2 linked regions of the Anolis sagrei genome follow. The main gene of each other region encodes a partner of the protein of the gene in region 2 in a complex. Links are inferred from orthologs where the notes say so. Each region holds a gene or a part of one and is shown on either strand. Other genes may lie near its edges.

The links. The genes of interacting proteins can lie anywhere in the genome.
Region 1: the proteins of PER2 (region 2) and CRY2 are in contact, whole or in part, in a crystal structure (PDB 4U8H), measured with the Mus musculus proteins. The link is inferred for Anolis sagrei from reciprocal best matches to the Homo sapiens genes PER2 and CRY2. Residues at the interface, in NP_035196.2 of Mus musculus: Tyr1132, Leu1134, Gln1135, Asp1136, Pro1137, Trp1139, Leu1140, Met1142, Ala1143, Asn1144, Thr1145, Ile1149, Met1150, Met1151, Thr1152, Tyr1153, Gln1154, Leu1155, Arg1158, Asp1159, Leu1160, Val1163, Leu1164, Asp1167, Gln1168, Lys1170, Leu1171, Leu1174, Gln1175, Ser1177; in NP_034093.1 of Mus musculus: Trp58, Ser63, Ser64, Val65, Lys163, Leu166, Thr167, Lys169, Arg170, Glu215, Leu216, Gly217, Phe218, Asn330, Pro331, Ile332, Cys333, Ile334, Gln335, Ile336, Pro337, Asp339, Asn341, Pro342, Glu343, Leu345, Ala346, Lys347, Ala349, Glu350.

What each region holds. Positions count from the first base shown.
Region 1 is NC_090021.1:277,807,320-277,814,996, forward strand, and holds the start of CRY2 (cryptochrome-2), read left to right. Parts: upstream 1-4,643; 5' UTR 4,644-4,971; coding exon 4,972-5,177; intron 5,178-7,677. UniProt on the Homo sapiens protein: Transcriptional repressor which forms a core component of the circadian clock.
Region 2 is NC_090023.1:229,098,169-229,105,451, forward strand, and holds the start of PER2 (period circadian protein homolog 2), read right to left. Parts: upstream 3,150-7,283; 5' UTR 2,839-3,149; intron 1-2,838. UniProt on the Homo sapiens protein: Transcriptional repressor which forms a core component of the circadian clock.

The sequences.
Region 1 (7,677 bases), on a different chromosome or scaffold from region 2:
GAATTTACTCCCAAGTAATAGCAAATCATTATTATTGTCTTTATTTCTATATCACTTTTTTCTCTTAAAGAGACTTAAAGTTGTAGCACTCCTGGAATTGTACAAAAAAGCCCTTATCATTTAATCAAGTTTATTTAAGAAATAAAAATCCAATTGCTTTCAGTGAGTTAACATTTATATAATTCTGGTTTGGACTGAGCCCAGATGCTCTTCTGCTTAATTTTCTCCTCCTTCTCCTTCCATGTGCACCTTCCTTTGTCGGCATAACAGAGGTATTACAGGATGTTATATGATGGCCATAACTAGCATTTAAAATGAGATTACATAAATGTATGATGGACAGACCTGCTGTTGGCTACATGCCAGTGCAAGATCTAAAAGCATCAGCAATATACCTGCGACGACGAGACACCCAGACTCAAAAGGAGATTATGTTCAGCTTTGCCCAGGCCTTTCCCAGAGTCGTATATGCAACTAGATAATATCTGCGTCTGAGCCCAAGGAATTCGTGGAGCTTAAGCACCCCTAAGCACATGATTGAGTGGTTGGTTCGCCTGTTATGGTGCAGTTCTTTTTCTCACCAGAACAGCATGTTTGGTGCCTCTTATAAAACTGGGTGATTTCATTGCTGTATGTACAGACATAGCGATTCCACTCCAATTAGCACTGCTTTTCACAGGGAGGTTACAGGAAGAAACTGACACAAATTGTGCGCACCACAAATGTTTGTTGTGAACTCAAGTTTTCTGAGAGATTTTGGCAGTTTTGAATTCTCTGAGGATTCAAGCCTAAGAATAAATTGCTGCAAATCCTTGATTTAGTTTAGAGAAGGCCATAATTAAGCAAAAAATAAAATAAGTGTTCTAGTATGCATAGCTATAACTTTGGGCATAAAGCTGTTGTTTCACAAAGTTAGTGTTTGTGTACATTTAGTTCTTTGCTTGATTCCCTTGTCAAATACATATCTCTTTACTTTTGGTGTGCACTTTATTCTAGTAATTGCCATTGGTTGCTCTTCCTGAATAATAACATTTTGCTTAAGCCTTTAGGTCACACATGGGCAAACATCGGCCCTCCAGATGTTTTGGATGACAACCCCCACAATTCCTAACAGCCTATCAGCTATTAGGAATTGTGGGAGTTGAAGTCCAAAATATCCGGAGGGACAAAGTTTGCCCATGCCTGCTTTAGGTCATGAGGGGCTCCTCAGCTCTTTGGAATTTAGGATAACTTGGAAGTTACTGGGATGTGAGGAGTTCTCTCGTGCAGGGCTGTTGTTATCTGCACTACAGAATTAATTTCTTTTTGTGCCAGAAGCGACTTGAGAAACTGCAAGTCGCTTCTGTTGTGAGAGAATTGGCTATCTGCAAGGACGTTGCCCAAGGAAGGCCCAGATGGTTGGTGCTTTACCATTCTGTGGGAGGCTTCTCTCGTATTCCCACATGAGAAGCTAGAGCTTGATAGATGGGAATTTGTCCCGCTCCCCGGATTCAAACCGCCAATGTATCAGTTGACCAGTCCTGCCGGCACAAGGGCTTAACGCATTGTGCCACCAGGAGCTCCTGCATAATCAATAATTAACTGCCATGGCTCCATGCTATGAGATCATAGGAACTGTAGTTTTCCAAGGTCTTTAGCTTTCTCTGCCAAACAATGCCGGTGCCTCACCAAACTCCAAAATCCCATGTTTTCCTAGCATTGAGCCATGGCAGTTAAATGTAGTATCAAATTCCATTAATTCTACAGAGCAGATGCACCCTAGGAGGTATTTTGCTGGATCTACAATGCCAAATAATGCGTATTGAACTGCATTATATAGCTAGTGTAGATGTATATAATGCAGTTCAAGCTAATTATGTACAACAGCAATATTTATTACGGTCCATAGACCCATCAGTGAGCAAACAAAGACTATGCCCCTATGAAAGAAATGAAGTAAAAACAATAGAATACATTTTATTGCTGTGCTGCAGCATTATGTGGGTCTATTCACACTGACTACATAACACAGTTCAAGCTGCATTATTTGGCATTGCACACCCAGTCTGGGTTTGTTAACACACAAGTGCAGAACTGCCATAATTGAAAATAATGGCTTGAAGTGCCATGGTTCAATGCCCTGAGTTGTAGATTTGGTGAGGCACCAGCATCAGAGTGGGAAAGCCCTAGCATTTGACAGAGAAAGAACAAAGAACTTGCCAAACTACAGCTCCATCGATTGAGCCGTGAAGTTCAAGCACCCATTCTACAGTGTAAGTCAGGCATGGGCAAACTTGGGCCCTCCCTCAAGGTTTTTTGGACTTCATCTCCCACAATTCCTAACAGCCAGTCATTAGGAATGGTGAGAGCTGAAGTCCAAAATATCTGGAGGGAGGGCCCAAGTTTGCCGATGCTTGAAGTAGGTGCTCCTGCAGCGATCCCGAGATGCACATTCTGGATGCGCATGGGGCACACACTGCGTCAGCCTTCGGATGTAAATATTAATGAATATTGGGCCCTCTGGTGGAGCAGTGGGTTAAACCACTGAGCTCCTGAACTTGCTGTCTGAAAGGTTGGTGGTTCGAATCCAGGGAGCAGGATGAGCTCCCACTGTTAGCCCCAGCTTCTGCCAACCTAGCAGTTCGAAAGCATGCAAATGTGAGTAGATCAATAGGTATCACCTTGGCAGGAAGGTGATACCTATTGATCATTGCAGTCATGCTGGCCACATGACCTTGGAGGTGTCTACAGACAATGCCAGCTCTTTGGCTTAGAAATTAAGATGAGCACCACCCCGCAGAATCAGTCCCGACTAGACTTAATGTCGGGGAAAACTTTTACCTTTATATATATACTAGCTTGGGATTATCTGCCCGGGTTATTTGAGAAAGGCATTGCTTGTCTGTGCTTCAAGTTTAATCTAGATACAATGTCAGCTGAGTTCAGTGGGTGCAGGTGAACTACAACTCATGGGGGCTCTGTGTGCCAAGTTTGGTTAAGGCCTTAATTTGTGGAGGTCATAGTGGGCTCAGGAATGATGAGGGTCGCAGTGTTCTGTGGAAGCCAAAGCAATTGAAATTGCTGCAAATCCTGTCATCCGTGGTCCATCCCCCCCTCAACAGCACCAGGACTTAAAGTGGGTCACGGGGGCTCTGTGTGCCAAGTTTGGTCGTTATCCATCAATGATGGGGATCGCAGTGTTCTGTGGGAGCCAAAGCGATTTAAATTACTGCAAATCCCATAATCCATGGTCCATTCTCCCCTAAACCGCACCAGGACTTAAAGTGGGTCATGCGGGTTCTGTGTGCCAAGTTTGGTCCAGGTCCATTATTCATGGGGGTTGCAGTGGCCAGTGGAAGTGGGAGCCAATCAGAAAGCAGTCACATAAACACATACAAACATTCATTTTTATTATAGACACTAGCTTGGGGATCCGACGGTGTCCGGGTTATTTGAGAAAGTCAGTGCGTGCCAAGGTTGGGCTTTATGAGTTATTTATGTGGCTCACAGTAGTCTCAGGAAGTGAGTGAAGGTACTGCGAGTCCCATTGTCCATGGTTCATCCTCCTCCAAACAGAACCAGGATGTAGAGTGGCTCATGGGGGCTCTGTGTACCAAGTTTGATCAGTCATTGGATGAGGGTTGCAGTGGTCTTGGAAAGTGAGTGAAGGTACTGCAAGTCCCATCCTCCATAGTCCATCCTCCCACAAACTGCACCAGAATGTTGAGTTGGCCATGGGGGCTCTCTGTGCCAAGTTTGGTCTTTATTGGTAATTTGATGAGTGTTGCTGTGGTCACAGGAAGTGAGTGAAGGTACGGCAAGTCCCAGCATCTGTGACCCATCCTCCTCCAAACTGCACCATGGTGTAGAGTGGATCATGGGGGCTCTGTGTGTCAAGTTTTGTCTTGATCGGTCATTACATGAAGGTTGTAGCGGTCTTGGGAAATGAGTAAATGAGTACTTCAAGTCCTATCACCCTCCTTGAGACTGCACCAGGATGTAAAGTGAGTCATGGGGGCTCTGTGTGCCAAATTAGGTTTTGATCAGTCATTGGATGAATGTGGCAGTAGTCTCAGGAAATGGGTGAAGGTACTGCACGTCCCATCATCCATTATCTGCACAAGGACGAAAAGTGGGGTCATGGGGGCTCTGTGTGCCAAGTTTGGACTTTCTCGGCCATTCAATGAGGGTTGCAGTGGACTCAGGAAGTGGGTGAAGGTACTGCAAGTCCCATCATCCATTATCTGCACCAGGATGAAGAGTGGGGTCATGGGGGCTCTGTGTGCCAAGTTTGGTCTTTCTCGGTCATTCGATGAGGGTTGCAGTGGACTCAGGAAGTGAGTGAAGGTATTGCAAGTCCCATCATCCGCGGTCCATCCTCCAAACTGCACCAGGATGTAGAGTGGGTCATGTGGGCTCTGTGTGCCAGGTTTGGACTTGATCAGTCTTTGTTGGGGGCCACAGTGGTCTGTGGGAACCGAAGGGTTTGAAAGTACTACAAATCCCATCATCCTTTGCAAGTTATATATCTATTGCGTAAGGCGCCAAGGATGGGGAGGCTCCCTTCCAATTGTTGAATAAGATCTCTGTCTCTCTCCCTGCCGCTCCTCCCTCTTTGCAAGTGTTTTGGAAGCTTTGGAAACCCCACCCACCCGTTGCTTTGCTCCAAGGCACACGTGCCGCGAGGGAGGGGGGAGCTCAGTGCGGTCACAGGCCACGCCCCCTTCTCCTCATTTCCCCCCTCCCTCTCCCCGAATCGCTGCTTACACGTCGCAGGAACGTGCCGAGGCTCCGGGGGCCCCTGGGCGCTGTCGGTGTTACGTAGCCCAGGCAGCCAATGGGCGTCGAGAGCGCGCGAGAGGAAGGGGCGTGGCTTTCCCCTTCTCCGACGGCCGGCAGCAACGCAACGCAGCGCAGCGCGAGGCTCGGTCGAGGCAAGAGGTGGGTTGCTGGCGCGCGACGAAGAAAGCGAGAGAAGCGCCTCGCGAAACTATGGCCACGCTCGCTGGGCCCTCGGGCCTCCCTCCTCCTCCTCCCCCGGGAAACGGCTGCTCGGTCCATTGGTTCCGCCGCGGGCTTCGGCTCCACGACAACCCGGCTCTGCAGGCAGCCATCCGCGACGGCGGCCCCGTGCGGTGCATCTATATCCTGGACCCCTGGTTTGCCGCCTCCTCCTCGGTGGGCATCAATCGCTGGCGGTGAGTGGATTAATTCGAGCCTGTGCAGCAGGCAAGGGCAAACTTTGGCCTTCCAGGTGCTTTGGACTCCAACTCCCACCATTCCTAACAGCCTCAGGCCCTTTCCTTTCCCCCCTCAGGCGCTTAAGCGGCTGAGGGGGGAAAGGAAGGGGCCTGAGGCTGTTAGGAATGGTGGGAGTTGGAGACCAAAACACCTGGAAGGCCAAAGTTTGCCCTTACCAGTTGGGCCTCCCCATACTACAAACCCCATCATTCCATAGCATGGCGCCAGGGCAGTTCAAGTGCTATCAAACTGTGCTAGTTCTACAGTGTAGGCACACCGCCTGTCTGTGGAAAGGGTAGAAGAAAATCCAGACAAGGCATTAAAAAAAAGGGCGTAGTGACTAATCCCCATAATAAACCGCCCTTGTTGACTGGCTCAGTCCTGGCTTCCTTATGGCAGTCTCTTTCGCTACTAGACTTGTAGATTTTGGTTTCCTAACATACCAGTTTAGGAATGACAGCCCAGAGGGTTAACATCAAGGACGTGTGAATGTGCCCTTTACCAAAGAAGTTTTACAATTCACACCTCCTGACAAAGGATTGTCCCCCCCAGTCAGGAAGCAGCCAGGCTTTGGAGCTGCAAGGCCATTCAGTGCTAAAACATGTAATATAATATATTGTATAGACATATAATATTTATAATATTATAATGTAGTGCAATGTAACACTAATGATAATAATATGATATTATAATTATATATTTATATTACATGTAATATTACTAATCATCTATATAAATAAAAATGTAATGTTAGTTTGTGGGATTAACATAACTCAAAAAACACTGGACGAATTGACACCAAATTTGGAAACAATATACCTATCAGGCCAACGAGTGACCATCACTCAAAAAAAAATACTGAAAAACACAGCAGGAGACTTAAAAAGCCAAAACATAAAAATACATTACAATGCATGCGCAAAACCACATATATACACAAATATACACACAGAAAACACATATACACAGACTGGGCCACAGCAACGCGTGGCAGGGGACAGCTAGTATTACAATATAATGGTGTAGTACAATATAGTAATATTTATTTATTTATTTACTATGTTTATATACCACCCCTCTCAGCCTTCTGGCAACTCGAGGCAGTTTACAAGGTAAAATTCAATGCCACAAATATATAATATATTGTACTATGCTAATAATATAATATATTGTATGTATGTATATATATATCTTGTAAGCCGCTCTGAGTCCCCTTTGGATGAGAAGGGCGGCATATAAATAAATAATCAAGGTGTCCAGTAGCAACATTGACACCTTCCTCCAACAGACAAGAGTTCTTTCTCCCATCCTGGACATTGTTCCACAGATATATAAACCCCACTTGCCTAGTTTCCAGCAAACCTCACAACCTCTGAGGATCCCTGCCATAGGTGTAGGTGAAATGTCAGGAGAGAATGCTTCTGGAACATGTGAATGCAGCGTTTACTAAATTGATGTTGTGTGCCTTTGAGTCAATTACGATTTTTGGGCAAAATTCGTTCAGAGGGCGTTTTGCTGGAAGGCTGTACCTTGCCCAAGAGTTTCCATGGCCAAGTGCATCTTTCAACCCGGATCTACAGAGCCATAACACTTTGTATCACAGTTGTTTCCCCCTGGATTATAAACATCATTTCCTAATTGGTTCCATCACAAAACCATGGGAAAAGTTTAGTAAACTTTAAACACATTGTTTTTGCAGGACATCCTGTAGCACGTTTTGCTATTGTTTTTCAATAAAGATCTGATAGAGTCTCAACCAATTCAGCACAGGGTTGCTGTGAGTTTTCCGGGCTGTACGGCCGTCTTCCATAAGCATTCTCTCCTGACATTTCACCCACATCTATGGCAGGTATCCTCAGAGGTTGTGAGGTCTGTTGGAAACTAGGCAAGCGTACCCCTCAACCTCTGAGGATGCCTGCCATAGATGTGGGAGAAATGTCAGGAGAGAATGCTTCCGGAACATGGCCATACAGCCCGGAAAACTCACAGCAACTCAGTTATTCCGGCCATGAAAGGCTACGACAACACAATTCTGCATAGTTTGTGACAGCCACAAAGTGTGGCATAATTAAACAGGAGTATGTGAGCAAAATGGAGCAGAAGCCACAGGCAAACTATATGAAACATGTGAAGAGATCCGCACCTGCTTCATGTATCATTTCTGGCAAGTTAGTGACACATGATGTCACTAATGTCCCTGTCAAATAGAAGGTAGTGGTGTTATGTTCACTTCAGAGGTTTGCATTCCATTCTGGCCTAAAGAATTTGGATTTCAGAGAGTAAACTTTACAGGATGCAAAGCATCTGTTTTTGTGCCAGACGGCATTTTTGTTACTTTCCAGTTCTGCGTAGTGCATACCAGGATTTGCAGATTGCACATGGCAGTATAATGTATTCTGCTCCATGGAAAGGCAAAGGATCTGCAGTTATGGAAAGCTATATGGGGGGAGCTACACC
Region 2 (7,283 bases):
CTTGGTGAGGCACCTCTTTGGCAGAGAAGTCTGAAGACCTTGTGAAACTGCAATTCCTAGGATCTCAAGGCATTGAGCCAAGGCAGTAAAAGTGGTGTAAAACTGTACCGATTCAGTAGTGTTGATGCACCCTAAATCTAAAGCAGTTCTAACCCATAGCATTTTGGATAACTTATACCACTGATATAATTAGTGGCATAATTTAGAGAGAGAGAAAGGGGAAATACGTATTTAAGATATAGATTTTATATGTATAATATAACCAGTCTTTAAGCGTAAATTTTAAATGCATGTCTTGTGTTTAATCTGTTTTGTGTATTTTAATATGTATTTAATTAAAAAATGTTTTAATATGTAGCTTTTATAGAAATACATTTTAATATGTGAATATGTAGTATTTCTACAATGTGTTTAATTATTCTGTAACCTGCCTTGAGCCGCGAGGAGAAGCAGAAAATTAAAGTATTAAAAATATATACATATACACCTTCTATATACTGGCACAATATCTATAATATACATATATAGTTATTATATATACACATATTAGGTATATGGGATATACATACTGTATATCTCCTATTTACATGTATTTTATACATTATATATACATTATATATACATATACACACATATCCTATATACTGGCATAACATTATAATATATACACACAAGTATTTCATATATACATATTGCAGATATACATACATACATATATAATATACATGTATACAGGTTATATATATAAATATCCTATTTGCATGTATTTTATACATTATACACACACATTTCCTATATACTGGCATAATATGTATAATAGACACATACAGGTATTTCATATAATTGCAGCTATGCATACATATATAACATATATGTATATAGGCGATATATATCCTAATATATATATTCTAAAATTCTAAAATTGCAACAGCAAAAACAGCAGAGAGAAAAACAGGCAGGGACATCTAATCACCCTTCAAGAAGAGTTTGCTCCAGGCACAGTCAGCCCATTGTATGCTAATCAAGGTGGTCAGTTGAAAGAGTCACACCTAGCCCAACTTACAAAAGCCCTTTGTCTTACCCTGGTCATTCCACAGATATATAAACCCCTTTTTTCCCAGCTCCAGCAGACCTCACCTCTGAAGATGCTTGCCATAGATGCATGGAACATGGCCATATAGCCCGAAAAAACCCACAAGAACCGAGATATATATCCTATTTGCATGTATTATAAATTATACACACAGACTTCCTATATACTGGCATAATATGTATAATAGACACATGCCGTTATTTCATATAAACATATATATATATATGTATATAGGAGATATATATCCTATTTGCATATATTTTATACATTATACACACATATCCTATATACTGGCATAATATGTCAAATATACATATATAGGCATTATATATACACATATTTCAGATATACATATACATACACACATGTATATAGAATATATATATATATATATATAATTTACATAAACACAAATATACACACACACATATCCTATATACTGGCATAACATGTCAAATATACATATATAGGTATTATATATACACATATTGTGGATATATATATATATATATATATACACACACACACGTAAATAGGATATATATATATTAAAATGTTTACATGTGTTTTATACATAAACACAAATATATATATACACACACACACATGCATATCCTATATACTGGCATAATATGTCAAATATACATATATAGGTATTATATATACAAGCATGTATACAGATATATATATATATATCTTATTTACATGTATTTTATACATAAACACAAATATACACACGCACATGCATATCCTATATACTGGCATAATATGTCAAATATACATATATAGGTATTATATACACACATGTATATAGAATCTATATAAATATATATATCTTATTTACATGTATTTTATACATAAACACAAATATACACACCCACATGCATATCCTATATACTGGCATAATATGTCAAATATACATATAGGTATTATATATACGCATATTGTGGATATACATATATATACACACATGTATATAGGATATATATATATATCTTATTTACATGTATTTTATACATAAACACAAATATACACACCCACACGCATATTCTATATACTGCATAATATGCATAATATACATATATAGGTATCATATATACATATATGTGTGTGTGTGTGTGTGTGTGGATATACATATATATACACACATGTATATAGGATATATATATATATATATATATATCTTATGTACATGTATTTTATACATAAACACAAATATACACACGCACACGCATATTCTATATACTGGCATAGTATGCATATATATATATATATATATAGGTATCATATATACATATTATACATGTATATAGGAGATATATATATATATATATATATATACACAGTATATCCCATTTGCTTATATTTTGCACAGCACACACACTCTTTATACACACCCCTTTTATATTGGTCATCTGAATAACAACAACACAATGGATTGAGAATGTATATAGGATACATACAGTATATCCTATTTGCATGTATTTTACACAGCACACACACTCTTTATACACACCCCTTTTATATTGGCCATCTGAATAACAACAAAAACAACACAATGGATTGAGAAAAAGTTCCAAATTCTGAAGTGCCCTTTAAACGAGCCTCCAGCCTGAGACTCCCAGGACGCTTTCCACACACAGGACCCTGCCAGGCTTCATCGCGCTCTATCAGCGAGGCGCTTCCCCTGATTCCCAGCCCACCCTCCCTTCCCCTTTCCCCTTCCCCTTCGGAGGCCTACTTACCTACTAACCCCGAGGGAGCCCCTCGCCCGCAGCAGAGGCGACGTCGAGGAGGACCGACTGACTGACGGGAGCCTCGCGTTACACAACCACCGCCTCGGTTTCCCTCCGCCTCAGCCTCGGCGCGAAGGGACGGCGCGGCGGGTGGTCTTGGCCGGAAGCGCCCCTCTCGCGCCGAGGCCGACCCCCGCCCCTCGGAGGGAGCCCCCTCCTTGCCTTTCCTTCCCAAGCCGAGCTCCTTCAGCGCCGCCGGCCCCGGCCTCATACCCTCCGCAACGTGATCGTGCCTGAGGGAAGCGCTAGAACGGGCGCCGATTGGCCGCCTCGGAAGAAGGGGCGGGACGGGCGGCGCCGGTCCCGAGGCTCCTATTGGCCGCGGCGGACGTCACTCACATTGCATAAGCTTCACGTGTCACTCCATGTTTCTGGGAGAGAGGCAGAGAGGGCGGGATGAGGGGGCGCTGCCGCTGCCGCTGTTCCCCCCTCGTCCCCTCCTCCCACCGCTTCCCAAACAGAGCGTTCGTCCAATAGGAGACGCCCGAGCTGCATGCGTCATCCGCTCCGGAAAGGAGGGAGGGAGCTCTCTCTCATACTTTGGGGGCGGGAGCCAATGGGAAAGCTCGTATGCTGAAATGCCTGGGTCAACTTTGGTCCTCTCTGCAGGTGTTTTGGACTTTAACTCCCACAATTCCTGTTAGGAATGGTGAGAGTTGAAGTCCAAAAACACCTTGAGGGCCCAAGTTGGCTCATGCCTCATCTGCACTGTATTTGAATGGGTTTCAATCTTATATCTATGCCTTTTAGTATATGTATTTCATCTATGCTGATGATCGTGCCATTACTGCTCAAGCTTTGAGATGGTAGAACAGAAGCTTTCCGAAGCTCTAGGTGCTCTTACTGCCTATTGCAGGGAAAACCAACTGATCCCTAATCCATCTAAAACACAGACATGCTCCTTTCACCTTAAGAACAGACAAGCATCCCGAGCTCTGAGGATTACCTGGGAAGGAATCCCACTGGAGCATTGCAGCACACCCAAATACCTGGGAGTCACTTTGGCCCGTGCTCTTACCTACAAAAGCACTGCCTGAACATCAAGCAAAAGGTGGGTGCTAGAAACAATATCATATGAAAGCTGACTGGCACAACCTGGGGATCACAACCAGATACAGTGAAGACATCTGCCCTTGCGCTGTGCTACTCCGCTGCTGAGTATGCATGCCCAGTGTGGAACACATCTCACCACACTAAAACAGTGGATGTGGCTCTTAATGAGACATGCCACATTAACACGGGGTGTCTGCGCCCTACACCACTGGAGAAATTACACTGCTTAGCCGGTATTGCACCACCTGACATCCGCCGGGAAGTAGCAGCCAATAGTGAAAGGACCAAGGCAGAGACATCTCCAGCTCATCCCCTGTTTGGTTTTCTAAGATCTACACAGACACTCGCTGGAAAACCTCAGCAAGCGAGAGTCCAAAAGTGGCAGGCTCAAACCCAGAACCTCAACCAATGGCTGATACCAAATGAGAGACTCCCCCCTGGGCACACAGAGGACTGGGCGACTTGGAAGGCGCTGAACAGACTGTGCTCTGGCACCACAAAATGCAGAGCCAACCTTCAGAAATAGGGCTACAAAGTGGAATCCTCGACATGCGAATGCGGAGAGGAGCAAACCACTGACCACCTGCTGCAATGCACCCTGAGCCCAGCCACATGCACAATGGAGGACCTTCTTGCAGCAACACCAGAAGCACTCCAAGTGGCCAGATACTGGTCAAAGGACATTTAATCAACTACCAAACTCACACATTTTGTATTTTCTCTGTTTGTTTGCTTTGTTCTGTTAGAAATGTAATATAATTGACTGGCTGCCCTGACACGAGAAATAAAAATAAAAATAGTATATGTGTTCTAAGGGTTTGATGTATACAATCTATTTATTGTAACTGTATTATATTCTGCCTCAAAATCGAATACTAGTATTGGTATATTATTATTTATTTATTAACTTTATTTGTACCCCGCTAGCATCTCCTGAAGGACTCGATGCGGCTTACAAAGGCCAAGGCCACAATAAAACAACAATATAACAATTACATATAAACCAAAGCAAATCAAAAACTTTTAAAGCAATAACAGTAAACAATAAAACAACACACTGTGATACAACAAAAACTAGGCCGGGCAAATGTAATGGATACAGTAGACTCTTCGAGCTCTTCCACACTGCCCTTTATCCCAGGATCTGATCCCAGATTATCTGCTTTAAACTGGAATATAGGAGTCCCCACTACCTGATAACCTGGGATAAATATAATCTGGGATTAGAATCACAGAGTTGGAAGAGACCTCATGGGCCATCCAGTCCAACCCCCTGCAAAGAAGCAGGAATATTGCATTCAAAGCACCCTTGACAGATGGCGTGACCACATCTCTGTGTACGAACCCACACGATCTCTTCATTCATCTGGAGAGGCCCTACTTACGATCCCACCTTCATCGCAAGTGCGATTGGTGGGGACGAGAGACAGGGCCTTCTCGGTGATGGCCCCTCGACTCTGGAACTCGCTCCCCAAGGACATTAGGCACGCCCCAACTCTGGCAATCTTTAAGAGGAGCCTGAAAACATGGTTCTTCCAGCGTGCATTCCCAGAATAAGGAAACCCTAAGCAACATGTCCCTAATCGCACTTTACTAATGATCCAGGATTGTCTACTCGCTCCATCTCTCTCCAAATACCTATCCTAGTTATATGTCACCTTGTCATGCCCAGCATTTTTTAAAAAATTTAATTATTACATTTGGCCCTGCCATAGGTTTTTAATGCGTCGTGGTGTTATTGTTACTGTTTAATGCTTTGTTTATGAGTTTATGTATTGTCTATATTGCTGTTGTTGCTGTTTTTACTGATGTATTTGGGCTCAGCCTCTTGTAAGCCGCACCGAGTCCTTCAGAAGATGGTAGCGGGGTATAAATAAAGGTTTATTATTATTATTATTATTATTATTATGGCCCTGAAAGATTAGATCCTGGGATAGAGGGGCAGTGTAGAAGGGCCCTCAAGCAATCAGAACTCTTAAGCCACTGGCAAAATAACCAAAGAAATAATACTTTAAAATTTAAATCAATTTTAGCCGATATGTTACATTAAATCAAGTCTATAATTATTTACTTTTTACTGATATAGTATAGTATGGCCCCCTGGTGGTGCAGTGGGTTAAACCGCTGAGCTGCTGAACTTGCTGACTGAAAGGTTAGCGGTTTGAATCCAGGGAGCGGGGTGAGCTTCCGCTGTTAGCCCCAGCTTCTGCCAACCTAGCAGTTTGAAAATATGCAAATTTGGGTAGATCAATAGGTACTGTTTTGGTGGGAAGGTAATGGTGCTCATGCTGTCCACATGACTTTGGAGGGGTCGACGGGCAACAGCAGCTTTTTGGCTTAGAAATGGAGATGAGCACCACCCCCCAGAGTCAGTCAGAACTAGACTTAATGTCAGGGGAAACCTATACCTTTACTATAGTATGCAATTGATTAGGTCTATTTTTAATAGTAACTCTTAAGCAACCAGAAACTAAAATAAAGAAATAAAAATAAACAATTATCCAGCATCTACCAATCTTCATGGATGCCGGATAACTAAGGGCCCTTCCACACACCCATATAACCCAGAATATCGAGGTAGAAAATCCCATATTTTCTGCTTTGAACTGGGTTATCTGAGTTCACACTGCCATATATTCCAGTTCAAAGCAGAAAATGGGAGGTTTTATTCAACTGTGTGGAAGAGGCCTGAGAGTCTGCTTTATTAGTATAAGTACATAAAGTGACTCTTCGTTTATGTTTTGTATATGTTTTCTACACATAGCATGGAAGTAGTTTTGTACAGAATTTTTGTGTGTGTGCCTGAAACAAAGTTTATGCACACTGAACCATCAGAGAGCAAAACGTGTCCCTATCTCAGCCACTCATATTTTTGGAGTACTTTGGATTTTGGGATTTGGATAAGGGATGCTTAACATGTAGGGTGAGAATAAGCTCAGCTGAAATGTGATGGAGGGAATGTTTTGGATAGAAAGAGAGAGCAGGGGACAGAGAAGGAAAGCGGGGGCGGGGGGGGGGGGGCGAATACAAAAACAAATGAAGCCGGAATACTTGCAGGAATGACTCAACCACTGTTGTGCTGTAGTCATACCATGAGAAGATATGACTCATTGGAAAAGAGGATAATGCTAAAGTGGAAGGCAGTAGGAAAAGACGGAGGCTACATTCCAGATGAATTGGACTCATCAATTAAGGAAGCCATGGCCCCGAGTTTGCAAGGCCTGATCATGTCTTTTGATGATAGGATGGCTTGGAGATCTCTCATTCATAGGTTCACCATAAGCCAAAATCAACTTGGTAGCAGTAATGAACAACAATACATGCAAGAAGTATGTGCATAT